Linked DNA regions of Bombyx mori. Each later gene encodes a partner of the first gene's protein in a complex. Links are inferred from orthologs where the notes say so. Each region holds a gene or a part of one and is shown on either strand. Other genes may lie near its edges.

The links.
Region 2: eIF4AIII (region 1) and mago nashi share a complex: the UniProt entries of both Drosophila melanogaster proteins name them as parts of the mRNA splicing-dependent exon junction complex. The link is inferred for Bombyx mori from reciprocal best matches to the Drosophila melanogaster genes CG7483 and mago.

The regions. Positions count from the first base shown.
Region 1 is NC_085131.1:3,885,148-3,889,615, forward strand, and holds the start of eIF4AIII (eukaryotic initiation factor 4A-III), read left to right. Parts: upstream 1-1,636; 5' UTR 1,637-1,757; coding exon 1,758-1,908; intron 1,909-2,193; coding exon 2,194-2,529; intron 2,530-2,866; coding exon 2,867-3,089; intron 3,090-3,957; coding exon 3,958-4,212; intron 4,213-4,468. Other genes in the region: protein hairless, read right to left, coding at 1-63. UniProt on the Drosophila melanogaster protein: ATP-dependent RNA helicase. Core component of the splicing-dependent multiprotein exon junction complex (EJC) deposited at splice junctions on mRNAs. Involved in exon definition of genes containing long introns, including the rolled/MAPK gene.
Region 2 is NC_085121.1:13,251,754-13,255,777, reverse strand, and holds mago nashi, read right to left. Parts: upstream 2,417-4,024; 5' UTR 2,283-2,416; coding exon 2,025-2,282; intron 855-2,024; coding exon 672-854; 3' UTR 627-671; downstream 1-626. UniProt on the Drosophila melanogaster protein: Core component of the splicing-dependent multiprotein exon junction complex (EJC) deposited at splice junctions on mRNAs. Involved in exon definition of genes containing long introns, including the rolled/MAPK gene.

The DNA.
Region 1 (4,468 bases):
TACTTCCTCTGTCATTTTGGTACATGTTGTCAGGGTTGTGTTGGTTCCTTCCTGTATATGCATTTCATTTCTGACCGCTCAAACAGCGCGTCGACACATTAGTCCGAATTTTTTCGCCATGACGTACACGAACATGGATAGACCGACACATCAAACACTCGCGAATTACGGTCGACATGAAACATTTCCTTGGAAATCCTCATCTTATGACCACCTGCGGGCTGTGGGCTCGCCCAGAATCCCGTAATAAAAACACATTACCGACACAGTGACTACTGATTTCAACAATAAGCAAAGTGACTGCAAAGGAAAGAAATCTGATTTGCTCACTGTTTAAAATTTTAAATTCATACCCCTACGTAGGAATTTTATCATCAATCGAACCCGCGACACAATTTATTGAAAAGCTGTTGGTTTCAGTATACAGTTCATTCACACCCAGCATCCATTTTGATTCGTTCAAAATCAAATACGGTCGTTCTTTTGGCCACAAATTAAAACGAAATTCCTTCGACCAGTTCGACCTCTGAACGAATGCGTTGTTAATTGCGTTTTGTTTCGACCCAGTCGAAAAAATGTTTAGATCTCAAATTAATCTTGTAAAGCACAGTTAACAATTTCAACAGTTAAATTATAGAATCATATAATACATGTATTTTTAAAATTTGTAGCCGCATTATATCTTTTGCTGGTTACGCTCTAAAACTTTCTTTTTTTAACGTTTCTTCTTTCGCGTTTTGTATCACGTTTTTTTTACTTTGTGTATAATCTATAGCCGTTTTATTTCTTTTCCATTTTAGATTGTTACCTGTGACTCTTGAAACCACAGACTATCTACAAATCAACATTATTAATTTATTTTAGTAAGGGGTTTCGTCAGTAGCTATGAGCCCCCGCGTCGTCGCCTTTCAGTACTATAAACAATCACATTATTTTCGGATGAGTTCTTACCATCACTCCGGTTATCGCGGCTTAAGAATACATGAATAAATAATAATTAAAAAAAACTAAAATACACGTTTTTATAGAAAATCGTGAGATGCGCGGCGTCAATAGTTTAAATATTTTATTGACAGAAATTGCTAGCTAAGTCTTATCATTTTGATAATCTCATAAAAAGCATCCCACGCTTTTTTTTAAATAAATTTATTGTGATGTGTGGGAAGTAACGTTGTTGCACACTACATTATTTTCCATTTTTTAGTTGGATTTTCTATAAAAACATGTATTTTAGTTTTTTTAAACTATTATGTATTTTTCATTTTTTAGTTTACTTATTATCTATCATAAATTATTCTTTAATGTGCATTCAGGCAAATAAAACAGTTTCCAAATTTTCTAAGTGAAGAAAAGAAGGCGCAAAAATTAATTTGTTGTTTTGACTGCCGAAATTAAATAACGAGTCTACTGTTTAAAATATTGAATTATCATCGGTCCTTAATACCTAAGTATGCCAAATTTCAAGTTAATCTGACATTTTGAAGGTGGTCAAAATCATATTCAAAGATTCCGTTACATACCTACATAGGTATGGAGCTAATAAAAGCGTAATAATCACTTAATAGTCTATGGATCTTATGTATGAAATGTATTATCTATCTTATGGAATTAAATTCATTATCTATGGTGTTATCTATGGTTATGGACACAGTTTCTTAAGTTTCCCTTTAGTAATTTAGAAATTCAGATTCTAAGAGATTTTCACCTATCGTATAACTTGTTATTTTAAAAACTTAGAAGCGAACTAGATTCGAAAAATGACATCGTCTGAAGTATCGTCCAATAGAAAAATATTGTCGGAAGATTTGTCGAATGTTGAGTTCGACACGAGTGAAGATGTCGAAGTTATTCCCACTTTTGACTCCATGGGACTTCGAGATGAGTTATTGCGAGGAATATACACATATGGTTAGTACAAATTGTGGTGTTATTTATAATTATTACAACTGCCTACATAAACGATCATGTGGGCATTATCTTACCAGCTTTAGACCGTATTATGGTCGTCCGTCTGTCAGACTGTCGTCCTGTTTTTTCGCAACAGTTCTGCGTTCCGGCTTCGAAGAGTGACATACTAATTTACAATACATTTAAAATCAATCGCACTGTTAAACCTTGGGGGCTGGTAGATTCCGTATTGTGGTGTATGTGGGGTCCGGTAACCACTTAGTAATAACTAACGTTAATTTACAGGTTTCGAAAAACCTTCAGCAATTCAGCAGAGAAGCATCTTGCCTATAGTCAAAGGCAGAGATGTAATAGCTCAAGCACAATCTGGTACAGGAAAGACTGCGACATTCTCAATTTCAATACTACAGACTTTAGACACGACTCTGCGTGAAACTCAAGTACTTATTCTTTCACCGACCCGTGAACTGGCTACTCAGATTCAGAAAGTGATATTAGCTCTTGGAGATTTCATGAACGTTCAATGTCATGCTTGTATTGGAGGTACCAATCTTGGAGAAGATATAAGGAAATTGGATTACGGACAGCATGTTGTGTCTGGCACACCTGGCAGAGTTTTTGGTAAATAAATGAAAATTGCTAATCCAAGTAAATAAGTACTAATTGTTTTAGTTTCCAAAACCAAAGATAAACCTTCTGTGATCTTTTTTGTTATCTGGCTGGTTCACCTTTTTTATTTCTTGAAAGTAGTAACTTAACTTCCACTTCTCAAATTCACCAACAGTACTACTCACTACAGTAGTCTCACCACAAACCCATGTGTATGGTTTCAGGCATCTCAGAACAGGGATGGTGTCTATAAATTGTCATCCTTGTGCAATAATTGAAAAAGTTAAATAATCTATCCACTGCAAGATGTAGGGTGCCCTAGATTATAAGAAAACAATCTTATTTTCAGATATGATCAGAAGGCGTGTGTTGAGAACCCGGTCAATAAAGATGCTGGTTCTTGATGAGGCTGATGAGATGTTGAACAAAGGTTTCAAAGAGCAAATTTATGATGTATACCGCTATCTGCCTCCTGCAACTCAGGTTGTGCTAATATCAGCAACACTACCCCATGAGATATTGGAAATGACATCAAAGTTTATGACTGATCCAATAAGGATATTAGTAAAACGGTTTGTATGATTATTTCAAAAATACACATTAAAGTTCGAATTCTGCAGGCAAGTACTAATTTTTCTAATGAAATACGTACTTCACAATTGTTCACGATTAACTTCCATAGTGAAGGAATAACATCTTATAATAAAAATCAAACATGTAAAATTATAATTTGCGTAATTACTGGTGGTAGGTGGTAGGAATGTCTTGTAAGTCCGCACGGGTAGGTACCACGATCCTGTCTATTTTTGCTGGGACGCAGTAATGTGTTTTGGTTTGAACGGTGGGTCAGCTGTTGTACTGTAAAATGCGAGACACTAGAACTCATGTCATTTTATTTTTTTAGTGTCCTTGTAGGCAGACTAGCATACCACCCACCTGATGGTGAGTGGTGACAATCGCCCATGGAATTCAGTACAGCAAAGCTGTTCTAGGTGTCTATGGACTCTGGTAACCACTTAACACCATTAACACCGTGGGCCTTGAACTCATCCACCCACTAAGTTAAATGAAATATTTGTTTTATATTGCCCTTGAAGGAATTTGTCCACCTGATAGTGAGTGATTACTGCCGCCTATGGACACTAGTGACGCTAAGGGTTATTTGCCTGATATCTCATTTGAATAAAATTATGTCACAGTACTCAGGAAACACTAGAGGAGATTTAGATTAAGAAAAGAAGTTACATTAAGTGTAGAAAACTATCTGTTTTATTTTAGCATTATCAACTATACTATTTCTAGGATGAAGCTTATTTCTGTATGGACTATCATTTTGTTAATTGCTCAACACATAAACCTATGCAAGCTAAATAGTAATTAAGTAAACAAATTTTCTATCATGGTAAATGTATTTGAAATTAAGAATCATTTTTTCTACAGTGATGAGTTGACACTGGAGGGTATCAAACAGTTCTTCGTGGCAGTTGAACGAGAAGAATGGAAGTTTGACACACTTTGTGACCTCTATGATACACTGACAATTACCCAAGCAGTAATATTTTGTAATACAAAGAGGAAGGTTGACTGGCTCACACAGAAGATGCAAGAGGCAAACTTCACTGTCAGTTCAATGCATGGTGACATGCCACAGAAAGAGAGAGACAACATTATGAAGGAATTTCGTTCTGGTCAAAGGTAATGGAAATTCTATTAAAATAAAAACAATACGATCTTGAAGACTTTTAGTTTTCAAGATCTAAATGTGAATGGTTTCGAATTTCGTGAACTAATATCACTAGTGATTTAATATGAAAAATACAATTGCTCTTTTTTTTTTAATGTAAACGAGATATGGATCACCTTTACAGACAGCATTTATGTAATAATGCCTCTGGGCTTTTGTTGAGTGTTGGATGGGCTAGTGCTTAATGTCTAATATCTAATTTATAGT
Region 2 (4,024 bases), on another chromosome or scaffold:
TTATGCATACTTGTTCCGTGTCCGGATGTGCTTCGACAGCAAAATACAACAAGTATTTAATGAATTATTTCAGGCAGGAATATCGTATAATTGTTGGAAATAAAATTTTAATTCACCGAGAGGCTGAAATAGCTAGATTTTTCAATTAGTAGACTGATGGCCTAAATGTTTTGTTCGGCACTTGTACACGTAAATTTATCTTCTCCACACCGAAAATAAAATTCACACCATATTTCTCATTATTTTTTAAAAAGTTTCTTAATTATTGGAGACAATCGAAACTATATGTGTAATGTGTAGATTAATTCATAAAATAATCTTGCATTGCACCTATACCTAAATCCATACATTTGTGTTGTGGGAGTTAGTGGAGTTCTTAGCAGATTTTTCTGGCAGAGACAGTAAACATTATTAACATTGCCATATTACATATTTATGTAAAAAGAGGTAAATTAACATTAAAAACCAAAATAATCAAGCCAAAAATATAACATCATTTATTTACCATCTATTATTCTTTATGGGCATTAGTTAGGTTTTTGCATATCTATAATTTTATTATCTGTATGAATTTTTTACTTTGGCTTGTTTACTTGTGTTTGGCTTAATTAAAATAAATAAAACTGTTATATGTAAATATTTTATTACTCAAGAATAGGAGATTATAATTTTTATATAGGCTTAATCTTGAAATGTAGCCCAATTAAAGAGAATACTAGACATTTAAGGTCTTGAACTAAATAATAAAACCCACGAAGACCCTCAGGGTCGCGGGATTGATTCACGTCAACCAAAGATCCAGTCTTAGAAGTAGTGAAAGAAATATGCTCTTCTCCAATAACAATTTCTAATTCCTGAAAATTAATAAAAATAGTGTTTAGTACAGCATTAATGTTTCTCGTCTTAATATAATTTGTATAAATTAAAGTTCAAATAATAAATTATAAATAATGTTATTTAAATTTATTAAAAAAAAATTTTTTACATTTTGAGAAGAATCAGAAAGGAATTTGGGAGATTTTTCAACTATTTCACTAATTCAAAGATCTACATGTCTAAACAAGCTTACATTATAGTTCAGCTATTAGCAAATTTAATGTTAAGAATGTGGAATCAAGTGTGTGGGCCACCTAGGGGGTTTGAAGGGAGTTCATGCGATATTGATGTTGTATGATGTAAAATACAATGTTATTTATTATAATAACAGCATATGCATAAATTTTAAAGCAAATGCATCACTAAAAACAAAATCACGATTAAGAAGAAGAAGACTTAAAAAGACATAGATGAGTGTGCTGTGGCCAAGCAGTAATCTACAAAGACACATGCTGTAGCAGATTGCCTTCAACTTCCATCAATCAAGAGACTAAGTATTATAATTACTAGTGGTAGCATACTGTATGGCCATGAACTAAGTTAGCGCCAACATTCTGAATAATTCTACTATGAAGCAATTATAGATTTAATTTGACAGAGTGGGCCAGTAGTTACAAAATATAATGTTATATGGTACAGGGCAGTAAAGCTAAAGATGGTATTAGAATGTCCTTAAATGAACCTTTTGGCAGGTCATATTACAAATCAGTCCTAATGAAAACATTTCAAATCCAAAAACTCTTTAGTTGATTTAACTTTGTTCAGGGCTAGTACTTTGAAAATACCAAATACTTTTAGCAAATCTTCGCTATGTGAACCAGAAAACTAAAGTGAAAATCCAAGATGATGAATAACTTCTATGTAGGCATTTAATATTTCATTTAGTGTTGAGTTTGCCTCAAATTAGATTTAGGATAGGATTGTTCATAGTTCATAGTTCATCAACTTGGTTGTTTCATAAAGAATAAAGTAAAAAACTTAGTTTCACTTTGCATTTCCGTGTTAAATTTGTCTTTAAATAAAATACACACATATAATTATAAATCAATGTTTTAGGTTAGAATAAATTTAACTTTTTGCAATGATAATTTTTTTCAGGAAATTTGGAAAACCTTATTATATTAGTTAGTTGTGGAATTTTAACATACCTGCCTACCAACCCTATCAGGTTGTGGCCACAGGCGATCGTCTTCGTGCATGATTTCGGAATCAATTATGATTCTTTTTAACTCGTCCATTACACAAGGGTGAACATAGGCTTCTTTACGTATCATTGTATCGTTTTTATAGTTGGAATTATTGGCATAACGCAGTTTCCCGTCAGGCCGGAATTCAAATTCGAGAAATTCGTGGCCAAACTTTCCCTTGTGTCCAACATAATATCGTATGTAAAAATCCGTAGACATTTTGCACAGAGTTTTAAATTTATCCTCGAGAACTTCCACTTTAGCGGCTCTACTGATACACTAAAAGAAAATTACTCAATGATGAGAAAACCCTCAAACGCAAATTATCAGTTAAATTAATTTCAGAATTAAACTTCAGATTACACTCGCGTGTTTAATTCAATGTAGAGTATTGTAGAGTGGTGTTTGTTTGTTTGATTTATGGAAGGTTCATACTTCCAGTTGTCCGATTAGGAAGACAAAGAGAACATTGCCTAAACAGCCTAGCATTTTGCAAAAAGATAAAGAGGAAAAATTACGAAGATTACGGAATGAAGTTGAATGAAATCAAACGTGAAATAAAATAAGATGAGATGATATCGAGGAGTGAAAGGCTGTTTGGTTAATTTGATAATTTTCCAACTTTACCCGAGAGCCGTTGAAAGCTTAAAATTTGGAAAAAATATCAAAACACAAAAACTTATTCAGCTGTACGAATGAGATATACTTAATTGAAGTTCAATAAAAAACTTCGAACGAATAATTAGCAATTCGTAGGTAACTAATTAATTAAACGGACTATAATATTAAAATAAAATAAAAATTCCTCGCGTTCCAGCCAAAAATCCTTTCGCATATTTAATAGTACCAAAAGCCTTGATACTCGTATGATAGCACTGCTGTAGGGTGAATGAAGTTAGCCCCTCAAAAAAAATTTTTTTTCCTGTTTTCTACTTATTTTCTATTAATTCGTTTGTTCATCATTTGTTCTTGATTGTTCATTGTTAATAATTGTTTGTTCCCCATTTTATTATTTTAAAAAAAATATTAAAAATATATCTAAAAGTTAGCCCCTCGATTGCAATTTTTAATATTTTTTCGTCCTTAATTACTCGTAAATATTCATTTTCGATTGTTCTTATATAAAATACGTTTGTTCTCTTTCGAAATTACTCATTTTTTGTTTAATTAATTGTATTAGTTGAATAAATGTATACAAAATATGTGTACTGCGCATGCCATAAGTGTATAATCTATGGCGCATGCGTCAACTATAATGCCTAAACTTTCTACGCGGTTTTAATCGTGAAAAAAAAAACAATTATAAATCCTGAAGGATCGATTAATTGGTATACAGTTTAATTAAAAAAATTAAAAAATAAATAAATAAAATAATGTGCATTCGCGTAAAGTTAGACCAAATACATTTTTTCCATCCTCCTATATACCTATCGCTATGAAGGTATAAAAAAGATAGGTTAAGAGTTCATATAGGTAATATAAACAAATAAGTAAATATGTTCATTATTTATCTTTCAAGAGATAATGTAGGTATACATTATAATCCCGGGACCTGGGCGGGCCCCCCGGTGCGCACTCTGCGTGGCCGGGGGCTCCGTCTGTGGGGGAGTTTTGCTGGACTTCCACCGTGGCGCGTCCGTAGGTGGCGGATAACGGGATCCTCTGGGCGACATTCCCAGAGGTATCGTCCGATCTTTTTCGTTGCAAGGATTCTTAGGTTTAGGTCCTAGGTTTAGGGTTAGGTTTAGATGTAGATTAAGGTCCTAGGTATAGGGTTAGATTAGATGTAGGTTAAGGTCCTAGGTATAGGGTTAGGTTTAGATGTAGGTTAAGGTCCTAGGTTTAGGGTTAGGCTTAGGATAGCTTAGATAGGCTTTGCAACGAAAGAGATCGGATGACGCGGACCAAAATCAGCACTAGGAGGAGCGGAAGGACTGCGCTCTCCACACTCTTCACTAAGT